7 linked regions of the Cricetulus griseus genome follow. The protein of the gene in region 7 binds, or shares a complex with, the protein of the main gene of each other region. Links are inferred from orthologs where the notes say so. Each region holds a gene or a part of one and is shown on either strand. Other genes may lie near its edges. The genes, in order: Crnkl1, Rbmx2, CUNH9orf78, Sf3b5, Gpkow, Bud13 and Snrnp200.

The links.
Region 1: Snrnp200 (region 7) and Crnkl1 share a complex: the UniProt entries of both Homo sapiens proteins name them as parts of the minor spliceosome. The link is inferred for Cricetulus griseus from reciprocal best matches to the Homo sapiens genes SNRNP200 and CRNKL1.
Region 2: Snrnp200 (region 7) and Rbmx2 share a complex: the UniProt entries of both Homo sapiens proteins name them as parts of the minor spliceosome. The link is inferred for Cricetulus griseus from reciprocal best matches to the Homo sapiens genes SNRNP200 and RBMX2.
Region 3: the proteins of Snrnp200 (region 7) and CUNH9orf78 are in contact, whole or in part, in a cryo-EM structure (PDB 7OS2), measured with the Homo sapiens proteins. The link is inferred for Cricetulus griseus from reciprocal best matches to the Homo sapiens genes SNRNP200 and C9orf78. Residues at the interface, in NP_054733.2 of Homo sapiens: Val1188, His1189, Leu1190, Gln1191, Glu1201, Pro1283, Ser1285, Arg1287, His1288, Leu1289, Asp1729, His1730, Asn1769, Tyr1770, Asn1772, Gln1774, Gly1775, His1780, His1784, Leu1788, Gln1791, Asp1795, Gln1798, Ser1799, Tyr1826, Thr1827, Glu1830, Leu1831, Met1834, Ser1835; in NP_057604.1 of Homo sapiens: Arg5, Lys6, Ile7, Phe8, Arg9, Arg10, Arg11, Glu16, Ser17, Glu19, Glu21, Asp23, Ser24, Glu25, Val27, Arg28, Lys30, Leu31, Thr34, Arg35, Val37, Gln38, Arg41, Arg43, Pro44, Asn45, Gly46, Val47, Ser48, Ala49.
Region 4: Snrnp200 (region 7) and Sf3b5 share a complex: the UniProt entries of both Homo sapiens proteins name them as parts of the minor spliceosome. The link is inferred for Cricetulus griseus from reciprocal best matches to the Homo sapiens genes SNRNP200 and SF3B5.
Region 5: Snrnp200 (region 7) and Gpkow share a complex: the UniProt entries of both Homo sapiens proteins name them as parts of the minor spliceosome. The link is inferred for Cricetulus griseus from reciprocal best matches to the Homo sapiens genes SNRNP200 and GPKOW.
Region 6: Snrnp200 (region 7) and Bud13 share a complex: the UniProt entries of both Homo sapiens proteins name them as parts of the minor spliceosome. The link is inferred for Cricetulus griseus from reciprocal best matches to the Homo sapiens genes SNRNP200 and BUD13.

Annotation. Positions count from the first base shown.
Region 1 is NC_048599.1:33,081,292-33,085,666, reverse strand, and holds the start of Crnkl1 (crooked neck-like protein 1), read right to left. Parts: upstream 2,872-4,375; 5' UTR 2,748-2,871; coding exon 2,697-2,747; intron 1,133-2,696; coding exon 980-1,132; intron 447-979; coding exon 355-446; intron 1-354. UniProt on the Homo sapiens protein: Involved in pre-mRNA splicing process. As a component of the minor spliceosome, involved in the splicing of U12-type introns in pre-mRNAs.
Region 2 is NC_048604.1:20,792,288-20,796,656, forward strand, and holds the start of Rbmx2 (RNA-binding motif protein, X-linked 2), read right to left. Parts: upstream 2,848-4,369; 5' UTR 2,809-2,847; coding exon 2,648-2,808; intron 2,480-2,647; coding exon 2,364-2,479; intron 93-2,363; coding exon 41-92; intron 1-40. UniProt on the Homo sapiens protein: Involved in pre-mRNA splicing as component of the activated spliceosome. As a component of the minor spliceosome, involved in the splicing of U12-type introns in pre-mRNAs.
Region 3 is NC_048599.1:142,695,057-142,699,149, forward strand, and holds the start of CUNH9orf78 (telomere length and silencing protein 1 homolog), read right to left. Parts: upstream 2,872-4,093; 5' UTR 2,788-2,871; coding exon 2,705-2,787; intron 2,390-2,704; coding exon 2,330-2,389; intron 798-2,329; coding exon 746-797; intron 1-745. UniProt on the Homo sapiens protein: Plays a role in pre-mRNA splicing by promoting usage of the upstream 3'-splice site at alternative NAGNAG splice sites; these are sites featuring alternative acceptor motifs separated by only a few nucleotides. May also modulate exon inclusion events.
Region 4 is NC_048595.1:275,868,298-275,870,958, forward strand, and holds Sf3b5 (splicing factor 3B subunit 5), read right to left. Parts: upstream 1,309-2,661; 5' UTR 1,160-1,308; coding exon 899-1,159; 3' UTR 615-898; downstream 1-614. UniProt on the Homo sapiens protein: Component of the 17S U2 SnRNP complex of the spliceosome, a large ribonucleoprotein complex that removes introns from transcribed pre-mRNAs.
Region 5 is NC_048604.1:114,159,008-114,163,175, forward strand, and holds the start of Gpkow (G-patch domain and KOW motifs-containing protein), read left to right. Parts: upstream 1-1,358; 5' UTR 1,359-1,440; coding exon 1,441-1,610; intron 1,611-2,519; coding exon 2,520-2,680; intron 2,681-2,781; coding exon 2,782-2,906; intron 2,907-4,168. UniProt on the Homo sapiens protein: RNA-binding protein involved in pre-mRNA splicing. As a component of the minor spliceosome, involved in the splicing of U12-type introns in pre-mRNAs.
Region 6 is NC_048597.1:158,032,449-158,036,054, forward strand, and holds part of Bud13 (BUD13 homolog), read left to right. Parts: intron 1-528; coding exon 529-631; intron 632-1,094; coding exon 1,095-1,233; intron 1,234-1,402; coding exon 1,403-1,587; intron 1,588-1,810; coding exon 1,811-1,892; intron 1,893-3,606. UniProt on the Homo sapiens protein: Involved in pre-mRNA splicing as component of the activated spliceosome. As a component of the minor spliceosome, involved in the splicing of U12-type introns in pre-mRNAs.
Region 7 is NC_048599.1:51,367,679-51,371,868, reverse strand, and holds the start of Snrnp200 (U5 small nuclear ribonucleoprotein 200 kDa helicase), read left to right. Parts: upstream 1-1,366; coding exon 1,367-1,411; intron 1,412-1,828; coding exon 1,829-1,992; intron 1,993-3,230; coding exon 3,231-3,402; intron 3,403-4,190. UniProt on the Homo sapiens protein: Catalyzes the ATP-dependent unwinding of U4/U6 RNA duplices, an essential step in the assembly of a catalytically active spliceosome. Plays a role in pre-mRNA splicing as a core component of precatalytic, catalytic and postcatalytic spliceosomal complexes.

The sequences.
Region 1 (4,375 bases), about 18 Mb from region 7:
GAGGGGGAGTGTAGAGAGGCTGGCTGCTCAACAGGAAGTGAAGGCCACAATCTTAATCTTGACAACAGAGTTCAACACAACACTATTTTTGAAACATGAACACAGAGAAGACAGATAAAACCCTGCTTCTTTAGTTACAGGGGTACTAGTGGCAAGACACACACACAGAACCTCCTGCGATACTCCGTGGCTGTCCTTCCCAGTGTCCTCAGCACCCGCAGAAGAATGTGAAGATGCCACAGAACAGAAGCTGGGAGGTTCAAACACAGTACAGTCCAATGCTTGACTTTTCCTACTTTTTCACAGGACAGTTGATACTATTTTATATGCAAATACTACACATGGCAATTTTACCTTTGAATTTCCTTTAGACTTTCTTCCCATTGTGCGTATTTTATCCAGTTACTAATCACAGTCCTATTTTTTCTTATGTTATCTTCAAAAGTCTGAAAGGCAAAATGGGGGTAGGGTAGTATATTAAAGCAAAAATGACTTCGCCTTTTGCCTTGCAATAAAAGTCACTCATTTCATTCTTTTTAAGAGAAATTATATCCTGGATGCTGAGAAACGAAGCTCACTACAGATGGTTACAAATCACTATCTTATAATTATTATCACTATAAATATCACTATTTATACAATCTCTAAAGTTTATGGAGACAACAAAAAAACTGTAGATGTAATGAACTACTGGAAGAATTATTGGTAGTTTTTGCTGTTGCCCATAACAACAACTAGTACGTTAATATACTCTACTCTCATTCCTAAGAAGAAAACAATTTTTAACATTACCTTCAAGTGCTCTCAGTAATTCACAGAATTTGACATTAACTTCCATAATATTAGTGGATTAGATAATCCCAAATATTAGCCTGAGGTCAAATCACATGGGCTCTCTCTGAGTTCTCTCCTGGGCCCTGGCTCCTACTGTGAGTGGTGACATGGACAGGTATGCTCGGTGCCCTCCCAACAGACTCACCTTCCTTTTTCGTAGCTTGTAATCGTTTAGTTCTTCTTCATCTGTGATCTTCTGCTGAGGCGGAGGTGGGAGGAGCTCGAGTTCTCTTTCTTTAGCCTCTCTTAAGAGCTGCTCAGCAGTTATCTGTACTTCGGCTGGCGCTTTGTTTTTCACCTTTTAAGGAAAAAAAAAAAAAAAAAGACATTTCTATTTTGGGTAGTGTTCTCCACACAAGATTTGAAAACCCACGAACATTTTCCAGGATGTGAACTTTGTAAGTATGAGGACAACCTGACCTCTTTGAATGACATGCTCAATTCTCCAGGAGACAGAAGGAGGGTGGAGGTGGGGCATCCTGCATTTTCTATCTAATGTATGACATCTATGATAACAAGTCCATAGTGAAAATCTCAAAAGGAAAAGCTGACAAAATAGCAGCATTTTTCCCTGTTAGAAGAGTAAAATAAGTACTACTCTCTAGCGTTATAACCTGTTTACAGAATTCCCCTACTTATTTTAACCCCTTTAGTGGACAAGTTGGCGTTCCCATGACATTTTAAGTCAACTGTAACTTATTAAGTTCCAGTCATTAACATGTAAACTTCTTGAGCACACACAGCTCTGTTGTTCAACACAGTAGGTACAAGCCAAGCGTGTTCAGATTTAGATGGACCTTAAGTGCAAGAATACTGTTCTAATTTGCTTTTTTACTGCTGTGATTAAACATCACCAAAAAAAAGCACTTGGAAGGAAAGAGTTTATTTGGCTTACACAACTGAATCACAGCCCATCATGAAGGGAAGTTGGGGCAGGAAGGGATACAGAAGCCATTTAGGAACACTGCCCACTGGATTGATTGCTCAGCCTGCTTTCTTACAGTACTGAGGACCACCTGCCCAGGTGTAGCACTCCCTGAGAAAACTGGGCCCTTCACATCTATCATTAGCCAAGAAAATGCCTTACAGACTTGCCCACAAGCAATCGGATGGAGGAATTTTATCAGCTGAGGTTCCTCTCCGCAGATAACTGTTGCTTATGCCAAGGTGGCAAAAAACCTAGCCAGCACACCCTGGCTTTTATGACTCAGGATGGGAAAAAAGCTCCCACATTAGACTTTTACAATAATTACATGTGGAAATGAGAACTTGTCTCAGAATAAAAAGGCCACGTATAAGAATCAGACAAGAGAAGACCATACGTAAAGGTAAAGTGCACGACTTGCCACTTATCAAGCATTGGTGAAATATTAGTCACCGTTGGAAATATAATAATCTACCGTTTAACTTAAATTATGCCATTGCACAGAGCCCATTCCTCCCATCCCCTCCACTGTCCAACTTTCGCGCAGCTTTCAAGTTTCAGCTTCCTCCACAAAGTTTACCTTCAAGTTTACTGACAACCCTCTGGTTCTTGCCCATGGCATGGTCTACGGTGCCTGAGTACCTCCATCAAACTTGCCATTTCGCCCTTCCTCTTGTTTTACTCCAGCAGTGTGTGTGTGTTGGGGGGGGGGCGGTCCCCAGAGCCTAGCAAAGCTAAGAGTTTGCTTAACCGAACTGGTCACCCGCGTTACAAAAACACCATCCTAGAACGAAGGCTGGGCAGACACGAGACGAGCTCGGAGTGACAAGACCCCCGCGCCACGCCACCGACCCAGGCAGGCAAAGAGCTCGCTGCCCCGAGTCTCCAGTGCACCACACCACAGATGCTCTGCTTGGGGCCCTTCGCGGTCGCCTACCTTGGCCACTTTGGGAATCCGCTGCTTCCCGGCCGCCGTAGAGGCCGCCATGTCTGCAGCCGCTGGACCGGAGCAACTCCGACTCACTCCTGAACCTCAAAAATCGGCTTCGAGAACCAGCCCACACCGGAGAACCTGCCCACAACAAACTAGATCCCGGAACCGGAAGCGGAAGTCGCAAGACGCTCTTTGACCGCCGCACGAGTCGGGCGAAACGTCACGTCGTTTCCGTAGCAACCGTGTGCGCGTCCTCTGTGGAGCCACACGGCGTGCAGGAGCTGCCGGTGAGGTGGGTATCGTGGGCTGCGCCGCAGGGTCGCAGGGCCCGGGAGGCGAGGGCGTAGCCAGATCTGTCTTCGGGATGCGTGCATCTGTGGCAGTGGCACCTGCGAGGGACGTGGGAGCCCATCTCGGATGTGGAAACTCGGTGGAGGAGGGAAGAGCGACGAAGGAAACCACAGCCGGCTAGCAGCTGCCGGAGCAGCGGTGCATGCTGGGCTTTGTAGTCCAACCCCACTACCTCCGCCTCCAACCCTGTCTCTGGCTTCTCCGCTATTGGGCCAAGCTTTGAAACGTGGATTTTTAAATAAAAAGAGGTAGTTTTGGAACCAGATGTTAAGGAAAGATGGAAATACGTCAGTAGCAAAACACCTAACCCTATGGTCAGAAACTGATGTGTACATTTTTAGTGTGTGAATTTGTTTTCATTATTTCAATTCCGTTATCCTTAATGCCCTTTGGCGATAAAAAGATAGAAATAACTATTTCCTTAAGATTGAAAAGCCTGCCGGGCAGTGGTGGCGCACGCCTTTAATCCCAGCACTCGGGAGGCAGAAGCAGGAGGATCTCTGTGAGTTCGAGACCAGCCTGGTCTACAAGAGCTAGTTCCAGGACGGCCTCCAAAGCCACAGAGAAACCCTGTCTCGAAAAACCAAAAAAAAAGATTGAAAAGCCTATGTAAAGTGCTCACTAGATGTTAGTAAGTATAATATCTGATGTACCTTCAAAACAGAATGATTGGGCATATAGTTAAGAGAATTTTTTAAATTTAAGAAATTTGGGGTTGAAAGTAAAATTCAAGGGAGGGTGAGATTTCCCTGCTCCCTGCTTGCCCACCTCCAAAGAGCTCTCCACTATCCATTTCCCACCAGGGAGGTTCATTGTCAGCATCGGTGAATTTTCATCAACACATTGTCAGTTAAAGGTGACTATGTTTCATACAGTTCACCCTTGTACAGTCTACTGTTTAGGACAAAGGCAAAGCAGTCTGTACCTGATGTTTGAATAATCTGCAGAGTTCCAAGCATCCATAATCTCCTGGGTACCACCTTTTCATCCCCCCATCCCCAGCATACATCTGTCAATACTCATCTGGTTTTTGTTGTTGTTGTTGTTTGTTTTTCGAGACAGGGTTTCTCTGTGTAGCTTTGGAGCCTATCCTGGCACTCACTCTGGAGACCAGACTGGCCTCGGACTCACAGAGATCTGCCTGCCTCTCACAGAGATCCGCCTGCCTACTCACCTGTTTTGGTTTGGTTTGGTTTTGGTTTTCTGAGAGACAGAGTTTCTCTTTGTAACAACTGTGGCTGTCCTGGAACTCACTCTGTATACCAGGCTGGCCTTGAATTACAGAGATCCTCTGCTTCCCAGTGCTGGGATTAAAGGCCTTTGCCACCACC
Region 2 (4,369 bases), on a different chromosome or scaffold from region 7:
CTCTATGCACCCAGAAGGTAGGAAATGAAAGAGGACTTACTGTGAGAACACACAGATGATGTCTCCTTCTGTCAGTTCATAAGGAAGCCCTCCTAGAAGAAAACAAAGCACAGTTCAGGTCAGCAAACATTAATCAAGTGTTTACTGCATATTATGCACTGGGCCAGATACTGGAGGTGCAGAGTGAGTAAGCCCTGAACTCACAAAAATCAGTCTAATGCAATGACAGAGGATGAAAAGTGACAACAGTCCAGCAGAAAAGCAATTAACTCTTGGATCTCTGTGAGTTTTAGGCAAGCCTGGTCTACAGAGTGTGTTCCAGGACAGCCAGAACTACAAAATGAGATTGTCTCCAAAAACAGGAATAAAAGTGATTAAGTCTAAGTGGAAAGGGGTTACCACTTACCAAATTAATTTTTTTTTTGGTTTTTTGAGAGAGGGTTTCTCTGTGTAGTTTTGGAGCCCATCCTGCCACTCGCTCTGGAGACCAGGCTGGCCTCAAACTCACAGAGATTCACCTGCCTCTGCCTCCCGAGTGCTGGGATTAAAGGCATGTGCCACCAACGCCTGTCTTCCAAATTAATCTCATTCAGTCCTCACATCCAAACTCCTATAAAACAGAAAATTTCCTGCACAAGACTCAGATTTCACAAACATTGAGTTCAAATATGCTATTGTTATGCTCACCTATGTGTAAACTAAGAATTTTAAAGAAAACTGTTAGGCAAGTCACAGGAAATTATTTGCCTTCCATGTTTTTTACCTCCTGTGTAAAAAGGGGCTATCAGTATATTTGCCTCACAAGAATGTTATAAACACAAAATAAAACGGTGCATATAAAATGCTTAACACAATATCTAGTGAAATAGCCTCTTTCAAAAGTCAAACTGCAGGATTATTGGTTGTGACATAAAGTGAACAAAGGATAGTAATATTGTTCCCAGAGATATTAAGAGTTCCCCTTTGTAGGCTCTTAGTCTTGTCAGTAATTTTAAAACAGACTGAGGAAGCCTGAGATCCATTTTATTAGCATTTGAGAGAGAGCTGATGGGGAGGTGAGTTGTAAAATTTACCAGCTACTGGGAGGAGGGAGATGGACAAGACGAAGAAATACGTAGTTAATCAGAAGGCCATGCAGGCAGGCATGCTCAAAAATGGCGGCTAAGAAACAGCTGCAAGGGAACGGGAGAGCCTGTAGACTTGAAATAAGAAAAAGTCCAGAGTGTTAGGGCAAGCATGCTCAGGATTTCAGACAATATTCAAAGAAGGGCTAGAAAGGGAGGGGATGGATAAGTTAGATGTCAGAACAGCAGACAGATGTAACAGCAATAGGTAATAAGTGCAGTGAGGAACTCCTGCGGGACATTGCTTCACTAAGGGGATCATTTTCCTTCCATGTCCTCAGCATGTCTTCAGGTGAATGAGCTTTCCTGACAGGTGACTCCTGGCCAACTTTATTAAGTCTTAAGGAAGGGACACACTAGTATGTGGCAGTTAGGTTTGCTTAAAATGTCCCATCATATCCACCCAGGACCAAGAGTGGAATGTGGACTGTATTTTCACCAGGTGTATAGCTTTCCCTTAATGAACACGCCTAGATACCGCGACCTTTTCAGATGACATTCTAAATTTTAAGCAGGAGTAAAGCTGATTTTGAGTGAGGAGTCCACACGAAATATTTTCCAGATGGCTACTGTCTGTCCAGGAACCCAACAATCAGCAAAGTACTAGAAGCAAAAGTCAATCACAGGAGAAAATAGTTTTGCGGAGGGGCAGACAGTAAAAATGAAAATAATGACCACTAATCTCATAGTGCTGCAGTATGTAGTATGTAACCTTAAAGAACTCTAGTCACCTGTCCGCACCGCACTTTCTTTGGCCTCGTAATGTGTTGGCTGTGGAGTTAACTGTCTCTGGGCAGCTAAGTGGAAAGCCTTTAAGTGCAATGAATGGTAAATACCAATTCTAAGAAGCACTGGCTAAGCCGGGCGCTGGTGGCGCGAGACCTTTAATCCCCTTTAATCCCAGCACTCGGGAGGCAGAGGCAGGCGGGTCTCTGTGAGTTCGAGACCAACCTGGTCTCCAGAGCAAGTTCCAGGATAGCCCCCAAAGTCAGGGAGAAACCCTGTGTCGAAAAACCAAAAAAAAAAAAAAAAAAAAAAAAAAAAAAGAAAAAAAAAGCACTGGTTATCAGAAAAGATAACTGGAAAAGGACGAGTAAAAGAGAATAAAAAACGGACTGTGGGCAGACAAGCTGTGTGGGTGACAAGCGTGGTCAGCAGGGGCTCTAAGTAACCGGAGCGGGAGGGGGGTGGGTCGCAGCGACTCCGAAAGGCACTGCTAGAGAAAACTGTGGCCCTCACCAAGAAAGATCCAGGCGCTGTCCTTGTATTCCGAGTGCCAAGACACCTTTTCCGCCACCCCGAGTTGAGCCTCTCGCTCATTCAGTTCGTTGATCAGCTTCACCTTAGTTAAAGGGCTGCGCGGGAGGAGAAGACTTCGTTAAAAGTTCGTTTCCTCCCAGCCTGCCTTCTTCTCCCGCCCCGAGGCCTGAAGGCCCCACCGCCCCGGCGAGGACCCGTCACCGTTTGTGGGCAACTGTCCGCAACCCACTCCCCCTTCCCGACGAAAAAAACGAAGCCCTTACTTCATATTCGCGCCTTCGCGCTCTTCTCTCAAGAAATGAGCTTCCGGGTGAGGCGACGAAGGGCGGGCACAACCGATCACCCAGCTCAGATTGGAGGCGGCCGAACTCGAGGCGGAACTTCCGCTGGAACTTCCGCTCCGGCACGTTAAGACTTGGCGCATGCGCAGTAGCGTGGAAGCCTTTCTCGCGCTTAGTGCCCTTTGCTCCTGTGGCGAAGTAGTTCTCCAGTCAGTTAGTCAGGGAACTAGTTCCCTAGTGACGTAGACCAGGGGCGGGGTCCGGGGTTTTAAGGGACCTTCAGCTTCTGGATAGTTTTTGTTTGATTTAGCTTTAAACGTTTTCTGAATGAAGTAGTGTGTCTGATAGGGTGACGAAACTCCCTGTTCTCTCAATCTAAAGCCCTGTTCTTTCCCTCCATGGCAATTGCTCAAAAATAGTCCCTCAAAGCCTCCCTGTTTGGGATTTAACAGTAGAAAAGTAAAGAAAATAGCTATGAGAATTGTTTCCCCGCTCGAATATTAAAGACGGACCAGTGTGCCTCTACAGACCCAATTAAATACCCACAGATTTACGTAAGAAATGTGGTCTTACGCCGGGCCTTGGTGACGCACGCCTTTTATCCCAGCACTCGGGAGGCAGAGGCAGGCGGATCTCCGTGAGTTCGAGACCAGCCTGGTCTCCAGAGCGAGTGCCAGGACAGGCTCCAAAGCTACAGAGAAACCCTGTCTCGTGATCAACACGCCCTACTGGATTAACTGACTTTATTTTTTTTTTATTTTAAACTTCATTATTTCAAAAACGATTGCAAGTTAAACACTGAAATTAACCAGACCCAAAGACTCAAATGGACTTCTATACTGTTAGAATAGCATTGAGAACAGAAGCTGTGGAACTTCACATTGGATTTTAGGCTGTCACTATCAAATATATTTTTATTCACTTGTCCACCAACAAAACCAAAAAATATGATATCATTAGAGCTATAAGAATTTGATTTATATCCCCTTTTACTTGCATTCAGTCCATCCTCACCTAATATTTAGCCTTTCTTGTTCTTTTTTCTTCATGTTACATGGCACTCACATGTACATTTGTTCACGTATATGTGTATATTGTTAGCTAAATTCTGCATATAAGGGGGAAACATGCAGAGTTTTTCTGAGATTGTATGACCTCACTTAATACACTCTAATCGCATCCATTTTTCTACAAATTTTGTGATTTTATTTTTTCTTGATAGTTGAATAGTTTGCCACCTTTCATATATGCCAAATTTTCATTACCTATTCTTATGTTGATGGACAGTTAGGCTGATTCTAATTATTTACTATAGTGAATAAAGAAGTAATAAACATGAGGATGCAAATATCTCTATGACAGGGAGTTCTCTGGATATAAGCCCAGGAGTGAAATATTAGGGTCGTATGGTAGTTCTAGTTTTAGTTTTTTGAAAACTCTCCAGATTGATTTCCACAATGGCTGTATTGGTTTTCACCCACCCCCACCAGAGAATGAAGGTTCTTTTCTCTCCACATCCTCCCCAACATTTGTTTTCAGATTGATTGACCATAGCCACTCTGACAGTGACATCTCATGGTGGTATCTCAAAGTAGTAATTTCTATTTCTTATTTAAATTTTGTTTCATTATTTGTAATTTTCATTTTCCTGATGACTATGGATAGTGAACTTATTTGGTGACTGACAAATTTATTTCCTTGGTG
Region 3 (4,093 bases), about 91 Mb from region 7:
GTTTTTTGGGGGGTTTTGTTTTGTTTTGTTTTTTGTTAGACAGGGTTTCTCTGTGGCTTTGGAGGCTGTCCTGGAACTAGGTCTTGTAGACCAGGCTGGTCTCTCACTCTGACTCCCAAGTGCTGAGATTAAAGGCATATGCCATCACCACCCAGCTTTTCTTACTTTGTATGTGACCATGTTTGTTAGTTTTGTGTGTGGACAGTGTATATACATGTTTGTGTGTATGCATGTGTGGTTGTGGAGGCAAGAGCCCAAAGTCAGGCATCTGCCTCAATCACTTTCCACCTTAAATATCTCAGACAGAGAACTTACTGATTTGGGTAGACTCACTGGCCAGTCAGCTCCAGGGCTCCAACTGTCTCTACTCCAAACCTTGCTAGGGTTACAGATGGATGCCATCATGTATAGCTTTTGTGCTGGGTACTAGGGGCCTGACTCAGGTCCCCAAACTTGTGCAGCAAGAACTTCAGCACTTTACCCACAAAGCCATTCCCCCAACTTATACTTTGAGAGAGGGTATCTTAGCTTTCTTATTCAGCACATCGTCCTAATCTGCCTCCCCAGTGCTCAGATTATAGGGATGTGTCACCATTCTCAGTTTTTCATGTGGGTGCCAGGAATCCAAACTTGGACCCTTGTGCTTGCACAGGAAGCACTCTGACTAGCCATCTCCCTGGCAGCATGGTTATACATTAGAGACACACTCACAGAAGAACAGCCCCAGAGAGGAGACAACACTCACCACCAGAGTAGTCTCCTCTTGAACCTTCTCTCCCACCAGCAGGGCAGCAGCACTGAGCAAAAGAAAACAGACAAAGAAATGACACAGAGACAAGAAGGAAATCAATCAATATGCTGGCTAGTTTGTTTTGTCAACTGAAACAAGCCAGAGTCACCTGGGAAGAGGAAACTTCAATTGAGAAAATGCCTCTATCATGTTGGCCTGTAGGCAAGCCTGAGGAGTATTTTCTTACTTGTGATTGGTGTGGGAGGGCCATTGTGTGCAGGGCTCCCTTCCCCCTGGGTATGTGGTCTTGTGTTGTATAAGACAGCTGAATGTAAACCTGGGAAGCAAGCCAGTAAGCAGTGCTCCTCCATGCTCTCTGCTACAGTTCCTGCCTCTGGGTTCCTGCCTTGTCTTCCCCCAATAACTGAATGTAATCAGAACCTTTCCTCTGCAAGTGGTTTTGTGTCATGGTCACAGCATAGGAAGCAATCTGGGACAATCAGGTTTGCAGGCTAGAGCACTGATGGAAGGGCATGCCCAAGAGTAGGTAGGAAAGAACACAGTGCTCAGCACACTGAGTGGGAGGGTGAAAGGCAAAGGAAGCAGCTGTGCATGTTCCTGCATAGCCATTTGATTTCATTTTAGCCTGGAAATCACAGTATAATTTGGGTTTTCCAGACAGGGTTTCTCTGTGTGGCTTTGGAGCCCATCCTGGGACTGGCTTTGTAGACCAGGCAGTCCTCAAACTCACAGAGATCTGACTGCCTCTGCCTCCCAGAGCACTGGGATTAAAGGTGCACATCACCACTGCCCGGCTCCCACAAAGTTCTTAAATATAGGGTCTATATTTAATTAAATATAGGGTCTATATAACCCAGGTTGCCCTCAAACTCCCAGGTTAGGATTAGAGGCATGCACCAACAACCACCACAGAAATCATTTATTTCTTAATTATACTTCTCTAATTTTTCTAAACTCTTATCTGTCAACACGTTGTCATTCACAATTCATCCGTGCAATTAAAAACTCCAATTAGGGCTGGAGAGATGGCTCAGAGATTAAAAGTACTGGCTGCTCTTCCACAGGTCCTGAGTTCAATTCCCAGCAACCACATGGTGGCTCATAACCATCTGCAATGGTGTGCAAGTATACATGCAGGCAGAACACTGTATAAGTAATAAATAAAATCTTGAAAAACAAAGCAAAACAAAAAAAACAACTCCAATTAGCAACAGGGTGGTGGTGATGGCTCATGCCTTTAATCCCAGCACTCAGGAGGCAGAGGCAGGCGGATCTCTGTGAGCTCGAGGCCAGCCTAGTCTACAGAGCAAGTTCCAGGACAGGCTCCAAAGCAATACAGAGAAACCCTGTCTGGAAAAACCAAAAAGCAATTAGTGACCTGGAGTAGACTCTGATACCACCAGGCTCAGGGCATGTGGCAGTTACACATTTGAAAAAAAACTGGTCCCCTCTTCGACCAGTGCAAGGTGTATGTCTAGAGAAAGAACTATGTCGAAGGAGATATTTGTAACTGAGACCCTAGCTGGAAGTATCTGTGTCATCAATAAATGACGCCACCCCCACCCCCATGGTACCCACCTCACCCCGTTTGGCCTCTTCCTTAAGTTCTGCACCTCTCGGGTTTCTTCAAGTTTTAACCTGGGGGGAAATGAATAAAAAGCAATGCACAGGCTGAGAGATCCTCTGCGGAACTCAAAGCTTAACTCAGTTCCGGGGACATCCGTGTCTCTCGGCCGAGTCCCTGGCACTGTGGATCACCGGCAGTCAGACCCATGCGACCCCGGAGCACCTTTCCGAGCTTCGGGACCGGGGAAATGTGGCCTTATCAGCAGGAGCCTCTGAAAGACAACAACCCTGGCTCCCGGTCAGTGGTGTCAGCGCAGTGCCGGCCGGTAGCCAGTCCCAAGGCTGTTTCCCTCTTCCTGGGCCGTGGAGGTCATGCCAAACACGTACCGAACCTCCTCTGATTCCTGCTCATCTTCCTCCGACTCCGAGTCAGCCCGCCGCCGGCGGAAAGTCTTCCCAGTGATCCGCATAGCGGCACCAGATCTTAGGAGCGGCGTTACCTGCCGCGTAGTGCCGGGAACCTCTTTCTCTTCCGGCGCGCAGAAGTGTCGTCAGAGGGCCGGCTGCATGCAGACCCGCCTCCGGGTGTCCAGGCCGCGCCCCAGCAGCATAGCCACCAGCTCCCAACTCCAAAAAGCAAGGGCAGGTACAGCCGCGTGGCCACGCCCCAGCGCCGAGACTGTGCCCTCCACCAGCAAGACAGTCTTCGAACCACGTGGCCACGCCCCAGCAGCACGGCCACTCCCCCTACTCCCAGCATGCATGGGCACTCAGTACTCGCACGGCCACGCCCCCAGCACGCACGGTCCCGCCCCCTAGTAGGCAGCGCCATGTGACCCCGCCCCGTCCTTGGCATAGGCTCTCTCGATTGGACAGCTGACGGTAGGGAGGCGGGGCACGACAGGCAGAGCCACAAGACTCTGCGCGGCGTCGCGGTGGGCGCGCTTGACTGACAGGCGGCGCGGTTGCGACGGCAGGTGAGTTCCGGACGGCTGATGCCTGGTGCGGTGGGCTGGGCCGCTAGAGCAGGGACGATCGCGCCGCCGCTGCGAACTGGGGAGGCCTGGCTTTGCGGGGCAGCCGCGATCTGGGGAGAGGTCCCCGCCGCCCACCCTCCCATCGACCGGCTCCTGTGTCCGCCCCAAGTCCCCACGGCCCTGGCTTCTCCTGAGCAGGCCGCACGTCGCTCGGAAGGCCAGCGCGAGGCCACTCGGGCTCTGGGCCTCAGATGTGCAAATTTATTTCTCACGGACAAAAGCTGAGCGCCTTGGCGGGGGTGAATATCAGTCCCGATACCAACTCCCCCGTACCAGGGTGGTCTGCTGCTACTGGTCCCTAGGAGGGATGCCACTGACGTTCAGAGGCCTCTCCAAGGGTGTGAAGCCGGGGACTGCCCTTCGAGAGCTCGGGGTGTCTCCTTTGGCCTGGAGGACTCGCTCTGTCCTACACACCTTCCACCGCCAAGATGTTGCGAGAGTAGTTAGCTTTCAAAGGTATCCATAAACACTTAGGAGATGGATAAGTGCATGCGTAATGGCTCACATGGGACTTATAGGGACTCCTTAATTACTAGTTTCCTCTGGAGCAAAGCACTTCTTAACTGTGGCAGGGCTAAGCATTCTCTCCTAAAAGTCTCCGGTCTAATCTCACGAAGTAGATGCAGTTGGGTCTGTCTTCCAACTGAGGAAGTTAGAGAAGGCTGAGGCTTAGAGAAGTAACCTGTGCTTCAAGTTACACAGCTGGGAAGGGGAGCTCAGGTGGGGGCATAGTTTTCCC
Region 4 (2,661 bases), on a different chromosome or scaffold from region 7:
AACTCAAGATCCCCTGCCTCTGCCTACAGAGTACTGGAGTGCTAGGATTAAAGGCGTGTACCACAACGCTCAGTGAATGGCTCTTACCGGTTTTTTCATGTGATCTTGAACTCAAGAAATCCTTCAGCCTCTGCCTCCTGGGTGCTGGGATTAGAGGTGTGTGCCACTCCCAGCGACTCATTGCTTTTTTGGTGTTCCTTCAGTAACTTAAAACACACCAACGAATGCCCTATTAGATGGTAAGCAACTTCCCATGCTCTGCACGGTTTTTCTCTGGATTCCGTAAAATCTTTTCTCAAATGTCATCATCGCAATATCTTAGCATTACAAGCATAGTATTTAAAATTGCGAATTCTTCAAGCTTCCTCAATCTCCCTGCATCATCTAGCCCTGGTCTATTTTAGCCTTTCTCCAAATTGGCATAATGTATGCCCCCAAACCTTTGGAAAACGCTCTGGTGAACACTGAATGAAAAAAAAAAATCCGTTCTTCATTTCTGAAGACACACAGACTAACTCTCAAGAAAAACAGATGCAACGTGCAACATCTTGAGACCTTGGTCCACAGCACCCTCCCCAGACCCCACCCAAGGAACACAGCAATCCACACCAAAAGATAGGACAAATCCTAAACTTTATAAACATGGCAAGAAGGACAACCAACTACTGAAAGGCAGACTCATTAGAAACGCGTCATCACTCCCGTGGCGTCTTCTCCCTCGCTTGCCGGGTCTAGGGTCGCTCCTCCCGCACAGTTCCCGGGGGTCCCGACAGTCTCTCGGTGACTTGTTCGGAATCGTCCACAGGTAAGCAGGCCAGGCGTGACAGACGATGAAGAAGCCCGAGCAAGGAGGACCGGCCCACCGCTGGCCGGCGGGGGAGCCTGGGAAGCGCTCGCCTCAGTTCTCCTCGGGCTTGTCCGCCGGCGGCCCGCTGGGCTGCAGCATCTTCTCCATCAGGTTGAAGCGCACGCGGGCCTTGCTCTCGTTCTCGGCGATGGCGAAGTAGTTGAGGAGGTCGAAGTGACCCATGTAGGAGCAGTAGGAGTCCCGGTGCTGGTTCACAAGCCATTCCCACTTGGTGGTGTCGGCGTGGCCCGTACCGATGTACTTGGACTGCAGATGCTCCAGCTGGCTGTGGATGGTGTACCGGTCCGTCATCTCGCCGCTCCGCTCTAGGCTTCCAGATCAGGCCGCAGACCCGACGCTACCCGCTCCGCGTTCAAACCTGAGAGACGCCGCCGCCGCCGCTGCCGGCCCGACACGGAACTTCTATCTGTGTAGGCGCGGGAGAAAGACGCCACTGTGGCGCCTGCGCAGACGCTCTTCTCCCAGGCGGAAGCGGAAGTGAATCCTGCCGCGGCATTGGAGTTGCCTAAGAAACATTGGGCCGTCCCCTCAGCGAGCCCGCCTACTTGGAGAGCGTTGCATGATGGTCTGCTGAGTGGCTCTTGGGTGATCACGTTCTAACTCCGGCGTTGCATTCTGGGATTTGTAGTCCAAAGAATTTGGCGTGTTTTTTTCTTTTGGTTTGGTTTTTTGTTTTCTTTTTCTTTCTCTCTCTCTCTCTCTTTCTTTCTTTCTTTCTTTCTTTCTTTCTTTCTTTCTTTCTTTCTTTCTTTCTTTCTTTCTTTCTTTCTTTCTTTCTTTCTTTCTTTCTTTCTTTCTTTCTCCTCCCTCCCTCCCTCCTTTCCTTCCTTCCTTCCTTCCTTTTTTTTCTTCTTTTTTTTTTTTGCCTGACTAATGTAGGATGGTGTCCAACGATTACGACTACAAGTGACCAGGAAAACTATCTCTTGTACCTAGAAGCTCACACGGACCGCCCTTGGTCCCAGCTTTGTCCCTTAGGATCTGGGTAGTGGGAAAAGTTCTTTGGGTCCTAAATGCTTGGTGATGAGTGTCAACACCAGGTGTCTTCCACATCAAAATCCAGGCTCCAACTCCTCACACCACCCAGGGGCCCGAGCCCTCCAACCAAACAACCTCCTAACTTTAAGGCTGCTTACAATCATTTTCTGGAAGTCAGTTGTGTCTCAAGACAAGTACTCTCTCCTTCTGTTTTTCTGCCTGGTTACACCTTATGTTCAACTTAGAGGTTATGTATCTCCTCACAAAGGTATAAACTACTTGAGAAAAAGATACTGTACTTCTTTTCTGATATCCTTTGAGGATATTATATAGCTTGATGGAGATCGTATTCTTTAAAAGAAAAATCTGATGAATGGACAAAGAGCAATCTCAGTCAAAGAGACTGATAATAGGGGAGGGCCCAACCTATTACAGTGGGGACACCCCTGGGCTGGTAGTCCTGAATTGAATAAGAAAACAGACTGAGAAAGCCACGAAGAGTAAGCCATTAAGCAGCACCCCTCCATGGCCTCTGCATTGGCTCCTGCCTTCAGGTTCCTGCCCTGCCTACCTTAGATGATGAACTGTGATACGGAAGAGTAAATGAAATAAATCTTTCATCCCTGAGTTGCTTTTAATTATAGTGTTCTGTCACAGCAAGAGAAACTTCAACTAAGACAAGTAGAATCTGCATGAAAATTCTGTTAGTAAGAAATAAATCAAAAATTAGTGCAATTCCAGTGCCATTAAGAATGCCTCAGGCAGTGGTGGCACACACCTTTAATCCCAGCGCTCAGGAGGCCCAGGCAGGTGGA
Region 5 (4,168 bases), on a different chromosome or scaffold from region 7:
GTTTATTTAACAGAGTTACACCCAGGGCTAGAGGTGTGGCTCAGTGATTAAAAAGAAACAGTATTATGCAAATGTTAATCTCATGTTTTTGATAATTTATAATATTGTTATGGAAAATCCCCAGGGTCATTTAGGTAAAAAAAAAATATATATGGGGGCTGGATGTGATGGCACATTCCTTTAATTTCTGCACTTAGGAGGCAGAAGCAGGCAAATGTCGGTGGGTTCTAGGCCACTCATTGCTTATAATGAGACCCTGTCTAAAAAGGGGAGAGGGAGGAATTTCAAAGAATATATATTCTGACCCTCCCAACCACCACCTGTTGTTAAGGCTGAACTTGCAACAACAGTCCTGCTCTCACCAAGAAAGAGAGAGAGGGAGAGAGAGGGTGGAAGGGAGGGAGGGAGGGAGGGATGGAAAGAGAGAGAGAGAGAGAGAGAGAGAGAGAGAGAGAGAGAGAGAGAGAGAGAGAAAGAAAGAAAGAAAGAAAGAAAGAAAGAAAGAAAGAAAGAAAGAAAGAAAGAAAGAGCTAGCACCCAGGCAAAGGGGTCCCAGCCTGGCAGTTCCCTGTCCTTTATGCCGAAGACCAGAAGACATTGCCTCATCCAAAAGCTCAGAAAACTGCAACATAGAAAGTATTCCAGGGCTGGAGAGATGGCTCAGAGGTGAAGAGCACCGGCTCCTCCTCCAGAGAACCCAGGTTCAATGCCCAGCATCCACATGGCAGCTCATATAGAGTTTGTCTTAGACTTGTGACAATTCCTCCTGCTTTGTAATTCCAGTTTCAAGAGCTCCTACACCCTCTCACAGACATACATGCAGGCAGAACACCAATGCACACAAAATAAAAATAAGTAAGCCGGGCGTGGTAGTGAACACTTTAAATTCCAGCCCGGCAGAGGCAGAGGCAGAGGCATTTTTTAAAGATTTATTTATTTATTGTGCATACAACATTCTGCTTCCATGTAGATATGCACACTAGAAGAGGGCACTAGACCTCATAATGGATGGTTGTGAGCCACCATGTGGTTGCTGGGAATTGAACTCAGGACCTCTGGAAGAACAGTCAGTGCTCTTAACCTCTGAACCATCTCTCCAGCCCGATTTTGTGTATATAAGCATTTTGCCTGCATTTATTTATGTGTGTCACCTGCGGAGTTCGGAAGACAGTGTCGGATCCCCTAGACCTGCATTACAAATGGTTGAAAACCTAGGGAGAATCAATCTGCCACCACGGTTATATCACTGAGAACTACATTTCCCAGAATGCGCGGCGCGGCGCGTTCCTATGACATTTCAAACCGTTTACCAGCGTGATCGGTTTTTCCCACGGCTTCAAGACCTGTCCTTGAGGCATTGCGTCTCGGCCGGCCCCTAGCGAATTGAGCTTAAACTAAACTTCCCAGCAAGCAGTGCGCTAGCCTGGGACTCGGGACAAGATGGCGGACCCAAACAGTGTGCCGCGGGCTGCCCCTTCAACGGCCCCGATTTCTTTCGGTTTCACTCGCACGTCTGCCCGGAGGCGACTGACAGACCCCAGAGATGGCACAGGACGGGCCTCTGAGGAGAAAGATTTCTTAACGACCGTGGAAGGAAGGGAGCTACAGAGGTGAAACGCTGGGTCTTTCACGTTTTGGAAATCGGTGCGGTGGGCGGAGGGCAGAATACGAGTTGTTTGCCCTGATGACAGTGATTTAGAAGGCCTCAAACACGGCCTCAAGAAGTTTATGGAGGCATCCGGGAGTGGTGGCAAATGTTTATTAATGTCAGGACCCGGGAGGTTGGCACCGGAGGATCAAGAGTTGAACGCTAGCCTGGGCTGTATGAGAGCCTATATTTAAAAAGAGAGAAAAATAATTAAAATTTAATTTATTATTAAATTTAATAATTTAAGGGCAAGGAGGAGGTTTGTTAGAGAGGTGGGTGAAAATGGCGCCTGATAACCAAAGGTATATATTCCTCAGAGAAAAAGTCATTGGGACTTGAGGACATGTGCGTTTTGAGAAAGGAAAAGGAGGGAGAATGACAAGACTTTTAGTGTCTCAACTGAAATAGTGGAAGCTTCTCCGATTTGGAGAATGCGGCAAATACAGGTTTGGGGAGGCCATCAGCAGCATAATTAAGAAACTGATCTGAAAGACCTAAGGGAGGGACTAATGGAAGACAGCTGTCCGGAAGGCTGTTTGCTAGCCTGAAACTGGGGAGAATCTCGACCGAAGATGGTGATTTGTAAGTCATTGTGGTTGAGAGTCCAGGAATGATTTCCATAAGACACATTTAAAGCTGAGGACACGAGGAGAGGTGATGCTTGCTTGTAATTTCAGCACTAAAAGGTTGCACCAAGAGGACAGAGTTTATAAGACCAGACTGGGCTACATAGTGAGATAACTGTTTCGAAAAGAAATGGGAGGACCTGCGGAAAAATAACTTGTGGAACATGGTCCTTCGGCTGGGTGTAGATATCTCCACTTTCTAACACTTGTACTTTCCTAACCTTTTCTCTCTGTCCCCACATCAGTGTGAACCCTCCAGAAGCCCCCAAGGAACTAGTCATCCCATTGATCCAGAATGGCTCTCGGAGGCAACCACTGGCCAAGAGCCCTAAGACATCCTCAGAAACTAAGACTGTATTAATGTCAGATGGTGTGCTGTCCCAGGCTGTGAAGGAGCTCATTGAGGGTAAGTGAAACCTCCCCCTTTGCTCTGCCCCAGTACAGGTAGACAAGGAGGAAGTTGGAAGGATAGAGTATGGCCTCATTGATCCTCCCATTCTTCCTTAGAATCCAAGAAGTCCCTGGAGGAGAGGGAGAATGCAGGTGTTGACCCCACGCTCACTATTCCCATGATCCAGAAAGGATGCAATCCCAGTGGGGAAGGAACAGACAGCGAACCTCAGGCTGAGACAGTGAGCTGCCCCTTTGCCATCCTCCCCCATCATTGCCTCTACCCCGTCTGGCTAGCCTCCTTGCACATAGCAGGGAAACTGTGCATGTGTGTCCCAGAGCCTTGCCAACTAGCCTTTCTCCCTTCCATCCTTATTAGAAGCTTTAACAAATAGATAGCAGGCTGTCCCAAAAAGTACTTGAATTCTGGTATTATCTGATAGAGGTGGACAGCAGAGTGGATGGGAAATACAAATGCTATCAGAGTACACACTGTTGGGAGGCAGAGGCAGGCAGATCTCTGTGAGTTCGACAACAGCCTGGTCTACAGAGTGAGTTCCAGGACAGCCTCCAAAGCCACAGAGAAACTCTCAGAAAAAAAGAAAGAAAGAGTACACACTCTTTGGAACCACTTTTGCTTGTTTCCTCTTTTTTTTCCTTCTTTCCTTGTTCTTTTTAAACGTGTAGTATGTAAAGAACTCTAAGGAAACCAGTGTGACTGGATTGGAATGAATGAGGGGTCAGGCCATAGATGAAGGCAGAGGTGACCAGATCAAAAGGGCCTTCTGAGCCACGGGGAGGACTTTTTCTTTTAGTGTGAGTGAAATGAGAGCTATGGGAAAATTCTGAGCTGACAAGGGTTGTAACAGGATCCCCTCTGGCTGCTGTGACCCAAATATGACTAATAGTGAAGGTAAGGAGGGAAGCAAGTAGCCTAAGTTCAGGATAGAGGCGGTAAGGACACTCAGAAGAGTGGCAGGAATGAAGCCTGGAAGGTTAGGGTCTGGTGAGACAAGAAAGAGATATGTCTCAGTACATTTTTGCTTTGTTTGTTTTTGTTGTTGTTTTTTGAGACAGGGTTTCTCTGTGTAGTTTTTGGAGCCTATCCTGGCACGCGCTCTGGAGACCAGGCCTCGAACTCACAGAGATCTGCCTGCCTCTGCCTCCCGAGTGCTGGGATTAAAGGCGTTCGCCACCAACGCCCCGCCAATAATGAAGTTTTTAGTCATAAATTTGTTGTAATACATCTTTCAACTGAACTATTCTCATCAGTCTTCAGATGTGCTTTGGGTTTTTTCTTTTTGAGACAGTTTTATGTAGTTCAAGCTGGCCTTGAATTCATTATGTTGCCAAGAATGACCTTGAACTTGTGGTCTTCGTTTCTCCACCAGTATCAATCAGGCTTTTTGTTCTCTCCACCCCACCCCTTTTTTGAGACAGGATCTCACTCTATATCCATGGTAGCTGTAAGTTTCCATGTGATTGCTGGGAACTGAACCCTGGT
Region 6 (3,606 bases), on a different chromosome or scaffold from region 7:
CAAGGCCAGCCTGTACTGTATGGGACCCTATCTTTTATGTATTTATTTATTTTGTGAGACAGGGTTTCTTTGTGGCTGGCTGTCATGGAACTAGCTCTGTAGACTGGGCTGGCTTCGACCTTACAGAGATCCACCTGCCTCTGCCTCTGGAGTGCTGGGATTAAAGGCGTGCACCACCTCTGCCTGGCTGGGACCCTATCTTAAAAAGAGAAAGAAAACATGCACATTCTTAGCCCCTGCTTTTATGTGTTGTGTGTTTGTGTTTGTGTTTACTTTAAAATTTGATAGTATATAGTATTTCATGCGATTAGAGATTTCTCTCCTATGGTGTGAGCCTATGGTCAATAATGAGAATATGAAACCAGAGGTTTTGGTTTGATTATTGATGATGATCAGACATACATGCAGCTGGCTGCCTCCTGTTTCACTGACATTGGCTGTTGCCTCTTCTCTTGGACAGGCTGTACACACATGTATTCCTCTTCTCTTGCACAGACTGCTCACATGTATTCCTCTTCTCTTGCACAGGCTGCACACATGTATTCCGGAGCAAAAACTGGGTTGGTAACTGATGTTCAGCGGGAGCATCAAGAACTCAAAAAACAGGACCAAGACACCACGACCCTTGGAGGTACAAACATGAGCATTCGGGGGCTTCGTTTGGCTCATGTAGCTCTCTGTCTTTTCTGTTTTTAAGTGTGGCATGTTGTATTTGCTAGCTGAAACTTTTCACTGCTTCCGTGTCTATGCTCTAATTTTTGTTTTTAAGTTTTTTTAAGACAGGGTTTCTCTGTGTAGCTTTGGAGCCTGTTCTGGAACTAGCTCCTGTAGACCAGGCTGGTCTTGAACTCACAGAGATCCGTCTGCCTCTGCCTCCCGAGTGCTGGGAGTAAAGGTGTGCACCACCACTACCCAGCTCCTGCTCTGGTTTTTGTGCATAGTCCAAGTGCTTCTTTCCCTTCCCGTGTGTGTATGTTAGACATACTGCAGACTTTTCACCAGCACCAAGATCTCAGGCAGCTGCTTCAAGTACTGGAGTGTTATTAGATTGTGATGCCTGGTGTTTATCTTAAAAATGTGATTTCCCTTCATAGCCCAGTTTGAATTTGCTGAAACTGTATTCCGAGACAAGTCTGGTCGTAAGAGGAATTTGAAGCTGGAGCGCCTGGAGCAGAGGAGAAAAGCGGAGAAGGATTCAGAGAGAGATGAGCTATATGCCCAGTGGGGGAAAGGGTAAGGGCGCCCTGAGCGAGGTGCTGAGTCTCCTGAGAGACCAGTTGAGATTCTGGGCTTTTTACCTTATTAGTTAGCCTCTGCTGCTACAAAGAGGGAGTTCTCCAGAGTAGCATTGTGATCCCTCAGTGTAGGAGGAAGTTGTCAACAAGGATGCTTTTTTGCCCAGGCTTGCCCAGAGCCGGCAACAGCAGCAGAATGTAGAGGATGCAATGAAGGAGATGCAGAAGCCTCTGGCCCGCTATATTGATGATGAAGATCTGGATCGGATGTTGAGAGAACAAGAAAGAGAGGGGGACCCAATGGCCAACTTCATTAAGAAGAACAAGGCTAAGGAGAATAAGCAAAAGAAAGGTGAGACTTGGAGTTGCTGGAGCTGGAGATGGTTGAAGAGAGAGTTGTCAGAGGGATATACATAGCTTCCCACAGAGGAGGCTGCCCACACAACTGTAATGCCTGTTGAAAGTTTGGGTTCAAAACAGTAGGCACTCTCATGAAGAATTTTCTCCCATTGCCATCCAGCTCTGAATCAAATTATGTCAGTAGCTAATTTCTTTTTTCTCATTTCTGTCTTTAGTGAGACCTCGATACAGTGGTCCTGCACCTCCTCCCAATAGATTCAATATCTGGCCTGGATACCGCTGGGATGGAGTGGACAGGTAGGTGTGATTCCTCTTGCTTTCTTGCTTTGTCTTCTCTTCTGCCTGACTTTCTTTCTTTTCTTTCTTTCTTTCTTTCTTTCTTTCTTTCTTTCTTTCTTTCTTTTTTTCTTTTTTGAGACAGGGTTTCTCTTTGTAGCCTTGACTGTCCTAGAACTCGATCTGTAGGCTGGCATCAAACTCACAGAGACCCGCCTGCCTCTGCCTTATGAGTACTGGGATTAAAGCTTTGCACTACCACTGCCCAGCCTTCTTCTGCCCTGGTCTTAACTTTTCTTCTCTGTTTTTCTTTCCACCTTTCCTTTGGTCTTTGTTTTTTTTTGTTGTTTTTTTTTCCAGATATCTGATATCGTTTAAAATACCATTTATCACTATACTATATACAATATTTATGCTGCTTGATGTGGTGTCCTGTGGTCTTTGTTTTTGAGAGTGTCTCACTACATACCCAGGCTGACCTCCAACTCATGCACCACGTCTTCAAACATTAGTCATGGTTAGTATTTTCTAAGGGTTAGAGGACAGGTGAGGCTTGTGTGCTGGAGCCCTCTCTGAGTTGTGTCTTCAACATTAGTTCTCTTTGCTGTCCTAGGAGGAAGTCCCTGGTAATCTCTCAGCCCTGCCACCTCATCTGGTTACTCACTAGTGTCTCACTTGTATACTCAAGCTTCCTGACTGTCAGGACAGCTTTTGCCTAGGGTCTTCCCTTGCCCACACTGAACATTAGCGTTTAGTGTCATGATTTCCAAAGTTTTAAATCTCAGGACCTTTTATGCTCTGTGCTAGTGTTTTGGCTCTGTGAGTAAAGGCATTTGTTGCCAAGCCTAATGATGTGAGTGCAAGTCTTGTTCTCTTTCCTCCACACACTAATTTGAGTGTGGGTGTGGGTGTGGGTGTGTGTGTACGCACCTGTATGAACAAATAGATAATTTTAAAAGAATTTTAAAATTCTGTTGAGGATTCCAAGAAGTTTTTGTTTTGTGGATTATATATTTATAGTCACTATATTTAAAATTATTATTATTTTTTTTCCGAGACAGGGTTTCTCTGTGTATCTTTGGAGCCTATCCTGGCACTCGCTCTGGAGACCAGGCTGGCCTCGAACTCACAGAAATCCGCCTGCCTCTGCCTCCCGAGTGCTGGGATTAAAGGTGTGTGCCACCAACGCCCAGCCAAAAATTAAAATATATTTTAAAAGCACTTATTCACTATATAAAATAGTAAAGCTTCTATATGCTAATATAGTTACTGTTACTTTTAATGAAAAGCAGTTATTTTCTAAAAAAAAAAAAACCAGAAGGAGAGAATTGATTTAACTTTTTGTAAATATAATAGACAACTGGGTTCTGAATTTGTGTATTGTGATGTGTTTAGCTGGGGTGCAGGAACAAAGTACAGCCTGCCATATCACCAGCAGAAAAGGGAGGTGCGACAGAAAGAACAAGCTAGCTCCTTTAAGGCTGTTATGTGGGTCTGAAACATGTAAAGAACTTTTGATACTTTTGCATTAAAACTTATGATTATTGTGCCCCCCCCCCCCTTGAGACAGGGTCTCTCTGTAGTCTTGGCGCTCACCTGGCTCTCACTTATTATAGACCAGGTTGGCCTTGAACTCATGGAGATCTACCTGCCAAGTCCTGGGGTTAAAGGCATGTGCCACCATGTCAGCATAATTCATGGTCTCCCTACCCTCCCACCCCTCTTAAATTTATTT
Region 7 (4,190 bases):
AATAAAAAATAATAATATAGAATAAAATAATAATAAATATAATATAAATATTTTGTTAGTAATATGTTAAGATATAATATATAAATATTCTATATATTATTTGCATTATAAACATAAATAATAAATATAATAATAATAACAACAATAATAATAGCATGCAGAGAAGTCTCTTCAGAGCAAGTTTGTGGCCTACCTGGACTCCAAAAGATCTTTTCTCAAAAGCCAAAGAAGGGCTGGAGTGATGGCTTAATGGTTATGAACACTTGGCTGCTCTTTTCAGAGGACCTAGGTTTCAACCCCACCACCCACAAGGCAACTCCTAACCTATCTGTAGCTCCAGTCCCAGGGGATTTAATACCTCCTCCTGGCCTTCTTGGGCTCTGCGCATACATGACACACAAACATACATTCAGACACAGATATACACGTAGCCAAAACACCCATATACATAGAATAAAACGAAAGTAATGATAAACAGATTAAACAATAAAAATTGCCAGCAAGATGGCTCAGTGGATTAAGACACAGGCCTAAGGGTCAGTTGTGCTTATTAAACCTAAAGGGAAAAGTAGAAATAGCTGTTTTGTTTTCAATGTAGAGAATTATTAAAAGATTAGATACCGCCATTTCATAAAATGTATCATTACTGCTTAATACATCTGAATAGTATATCTGAATAGACTTTTCATATATTTCTTTAGTAAATGTAGCGTTTGTGCCACATTGAGAACAAATAATCCGTATCTATAATCCTGACATGGACTGTGACAGATCATTGGGTGCAAATATTTCTTCCTTCACCTTCAGTCAGCTGCCACAGCGATTGACTCTTGAGGAAAAGCGTTGGGGGCAGCAAACATTTCCCCAATTTCTCAATACAGAAGAGAAATCCAGTCAGTTATTAGAAGCATGTTAACTTGCTCCTTCAACTTTCTCATCCTTAATAAACGGAGCTCCTAAGCTTCCGTTTGCCTGCAAGCATGCCTGCCTGCCTGCCTGACGGGACCGCTGGACTGAGAAAGCAAAAGTGTATTACAGAAAGGGACTTTTAACACCACACTAAAAGTGGCTTCGTGACTCTGCGTACGTATAGGTCCTTGGAACCATATTGCGCAGGAGCGTGTTTCCTAGGTCCACGGAATCCCTGACCCGGATGTATTACCTTCTGCAACCGCCACCTAGTGGCGGTGCGTAGTCGCCGGAAAGTATCACTTTTAGCGTACGTCCCGGAAGCGGAAGGGAGTCCGTTGCTTTTCTCTGTCCCGCACGTTTGTCCTGCGTCGTTCCTGCTGGGCCGGCGCGGTTTGTTGAGGCGGTTCGCAGCGTGTGGAGAGTGGAACCCTGAGTTCCCGGAGCATCGGCAGCCATGGCGGATGTGACTGCCCGCAGTCTGCAGTACGAGTACAAGGCGGTGCGTGAAGTCTCGGCGGAGGGCTGCGGGCGAGGGAGGCCGTGGGTAGCCACAAACACGGACGGAATATCTGATCTGGGTGAAGGCTGGATTAAAACACGACGGAATAACTCTAGTGGGGTTTAGGGCGCGTGAGGACTCGGGAGGTTTTTTCCCAGTCTCCTCAAACCGCCCCTTCCTACTCGTTATCCCCAAATCTGCTCAACACTTCACCTAATGTGGGTTATTGTGACTACTGTTAGGAACGTTGATCGTTCACTTTACCAGACAGTCCGGTGCTTGGCGTTTTATTATACTGTTTCTTCTTAAGGGGATTATTCCTTTTTCCCAGTATTTTTCCATCTTCAGGTGTCACTGTGATAACAGGAACCGAAGCTATTTATATATTAAAGTTTTGATTAAGTATGATCTTTTCAGAACTCAAATCTTGTGCTCCAAGCTGACCGCTCACTTATTGACCGGACCCGCCGGGATGAACCGACAGGAGAGGTTCTGTCCCTGGTTGGGAAGTTGGAGGGAACTCGGATGGGAGATAAGGCTCAACGCACCAAACCACAGATGCAGGAGGAAAGACGGGCCAAGTAGGTACCAACGGGGTGTTATATTTTCCTTGTAGTCTAAAGCGCATCTTGAACATTTGAGCAGTAGTTTTGATGAAGTACCTGTGGAAGATCAGCGGTGTTTGCACAAGAGAATGAAAACCTCTTCAAGGTTTAAAGTTTCTTTGGACTTGGGTGCAATGAAATGGAACAAAAATCTATTAGTACTTTTTGTTTCTGATTCATAGGTAGATGCTAATTTTCTTCAAGCTATTTTTTTCTTAAAAATCTGTTTCATTTTTAATCATGTGCATGTGTGTTTTTTTGTGAGTATGTGCACATGCATCCAAATGCCTGTGAAGGCCAGAAGACAGTTTGGAACATAGGAGCTGGAGTTTCAGGCAGTTGTGAGCTACCCAGTTTGGAGGGCTGGGAACTGAACTCTGATCCTCTGCAGAAGCAGTATTGCTTCTAACTACTTGAACCTTCTCCCCAGCCCCGTCACCAACTATTTTCCAGACCCTTGTTAATCTCTTGTCTCAGCAGTTCAGCCCCACTACCACTGTTAAAAGCTTCTTACCCTAACTCCCTCCGGTTGTTGTCCACTTCCTGATGCTTTTGTTTTGTTGTCTCTCCCGTTTTTTCATCTTGATAGATCCATTTCAAAAGTTGCATGTTCTCCTACTGTGCTTTCTTTCTCCTTTTTCTTTCTGTGAAGTCTTAACAGTCCCCAGGCCCTGTTTAGTTTGAGTGGTTATAATTGGGGAGAGTTGTTGAGACTTGAGAGAATTGTTAAATTTGAGAAGAAACATTCCTTGGTCCTTCACTTTTCAGAATCTGGCTTCTTTTCTAGCTGTTTATTGGGAGTCATAGAAGTAGATTCCCCTGGAGCCTAGCCTCTCTGGCTAATAAAAGGTTTTGTTTGTTTGTTTGTTTTTTAAAGTTGAAATACCATTATATTATCTCCTCATGAGGATAAAGAAATAAATACTTCTTCAAATGCTTAAAGTCAAGTGGGAATTACTTATTTTGATTCATGTTCCTGCTTGCACATATTAGATGTATAGAAAAGGTAAACTTCGGGGGTGGGGGGCAGGGGAGGAGGAGAGGGAGAGGGAACTGGGATTGACATGTAAATGAAGCTGGTTTCTAATTTAAAGTTGGTCTAATTGCAATTATAAAAAGAAAAGAAAAGAAAAGAAAAGAAAAGAAAAGAAAAGGTAAACTTGACTTGGGGGCGCAAAGTTCTCCCATTGAGCATCACACCCTGTGTTCATTAGGAGAAGAAAGCGTGATGAGGACCGGCATGACATCAACAAGATGAAAGGTTATACGCTGCTGTCAGAGGGCATTGATGAAATGGTGGGCATCATCTATAAGCCCAAAACTAAGGAGACGCGAGAGACCTATGAGGTGCTGCTCAGCTTTATCCAGGCTGCTCTTGGAGACCAGGTGAGGCTGGAACCAGAGGATGAGGCCTTGTGTTTGGAAAGAGAAAGGGTGATGCACAAGAATTTTGGTTAAATTATTAGTTACAAATATTTATTCTGTTTGTGGAAATCAGGACAACTTTCATCTGTGTGGGACTCAGAGATCAAACCTAAGTTGTTGGCCTTGGTGGAAAGTATAAGTTTGTTTTGCTTCTGAAAAGCATCTACCTAATCCCCCCCCCCCCACTTCTGGGGACTGACTCCAGGATCTCTCATGCTTTGTTTTTGTTTTTGTTTTTGTTTTTGTTTTTTTTTTTTTTGTTTTTTTTTAAGTTTTTCAAGACAGGGGTTCTCTGTGTAGCTTTGGAGGCTGTCCTGGAACTAGCTCTTGTAGACCAGATTGGTCTCTAACTCACAAAGATCTGCCTGCCTCTGCCACCTGCCTCTGTCTTCCGAGTGCTACGCTTAAGGGCATGTGGTACCACTGTGTTAAATCCTCAGCAGCTCCCTATAGTCTTTAATTTTTATCTTTTGGTTTTTCAAAACAGGATTTCTCTGTGTAGCCTTGGCTGTTCTGTAACTCACTCTGTAAACCAGGCTGACCTCAAACTCAGAGATCCTCTTGTCTCTGCCTCCTGAGTGCTGGGATCAAAGCTTATTTTTTAAATTTTATTTTATTTGTTTGTGTGAGACAAGGTCTCATGTAGCTCAAGCTGACCTCAAACTCACTGTGTATTCAAGAATAACCTAGAACTTATGGTCCTGTTGTTTCTCCAAGTGCCAGGATTACTGGCACATTGCCATTGTATC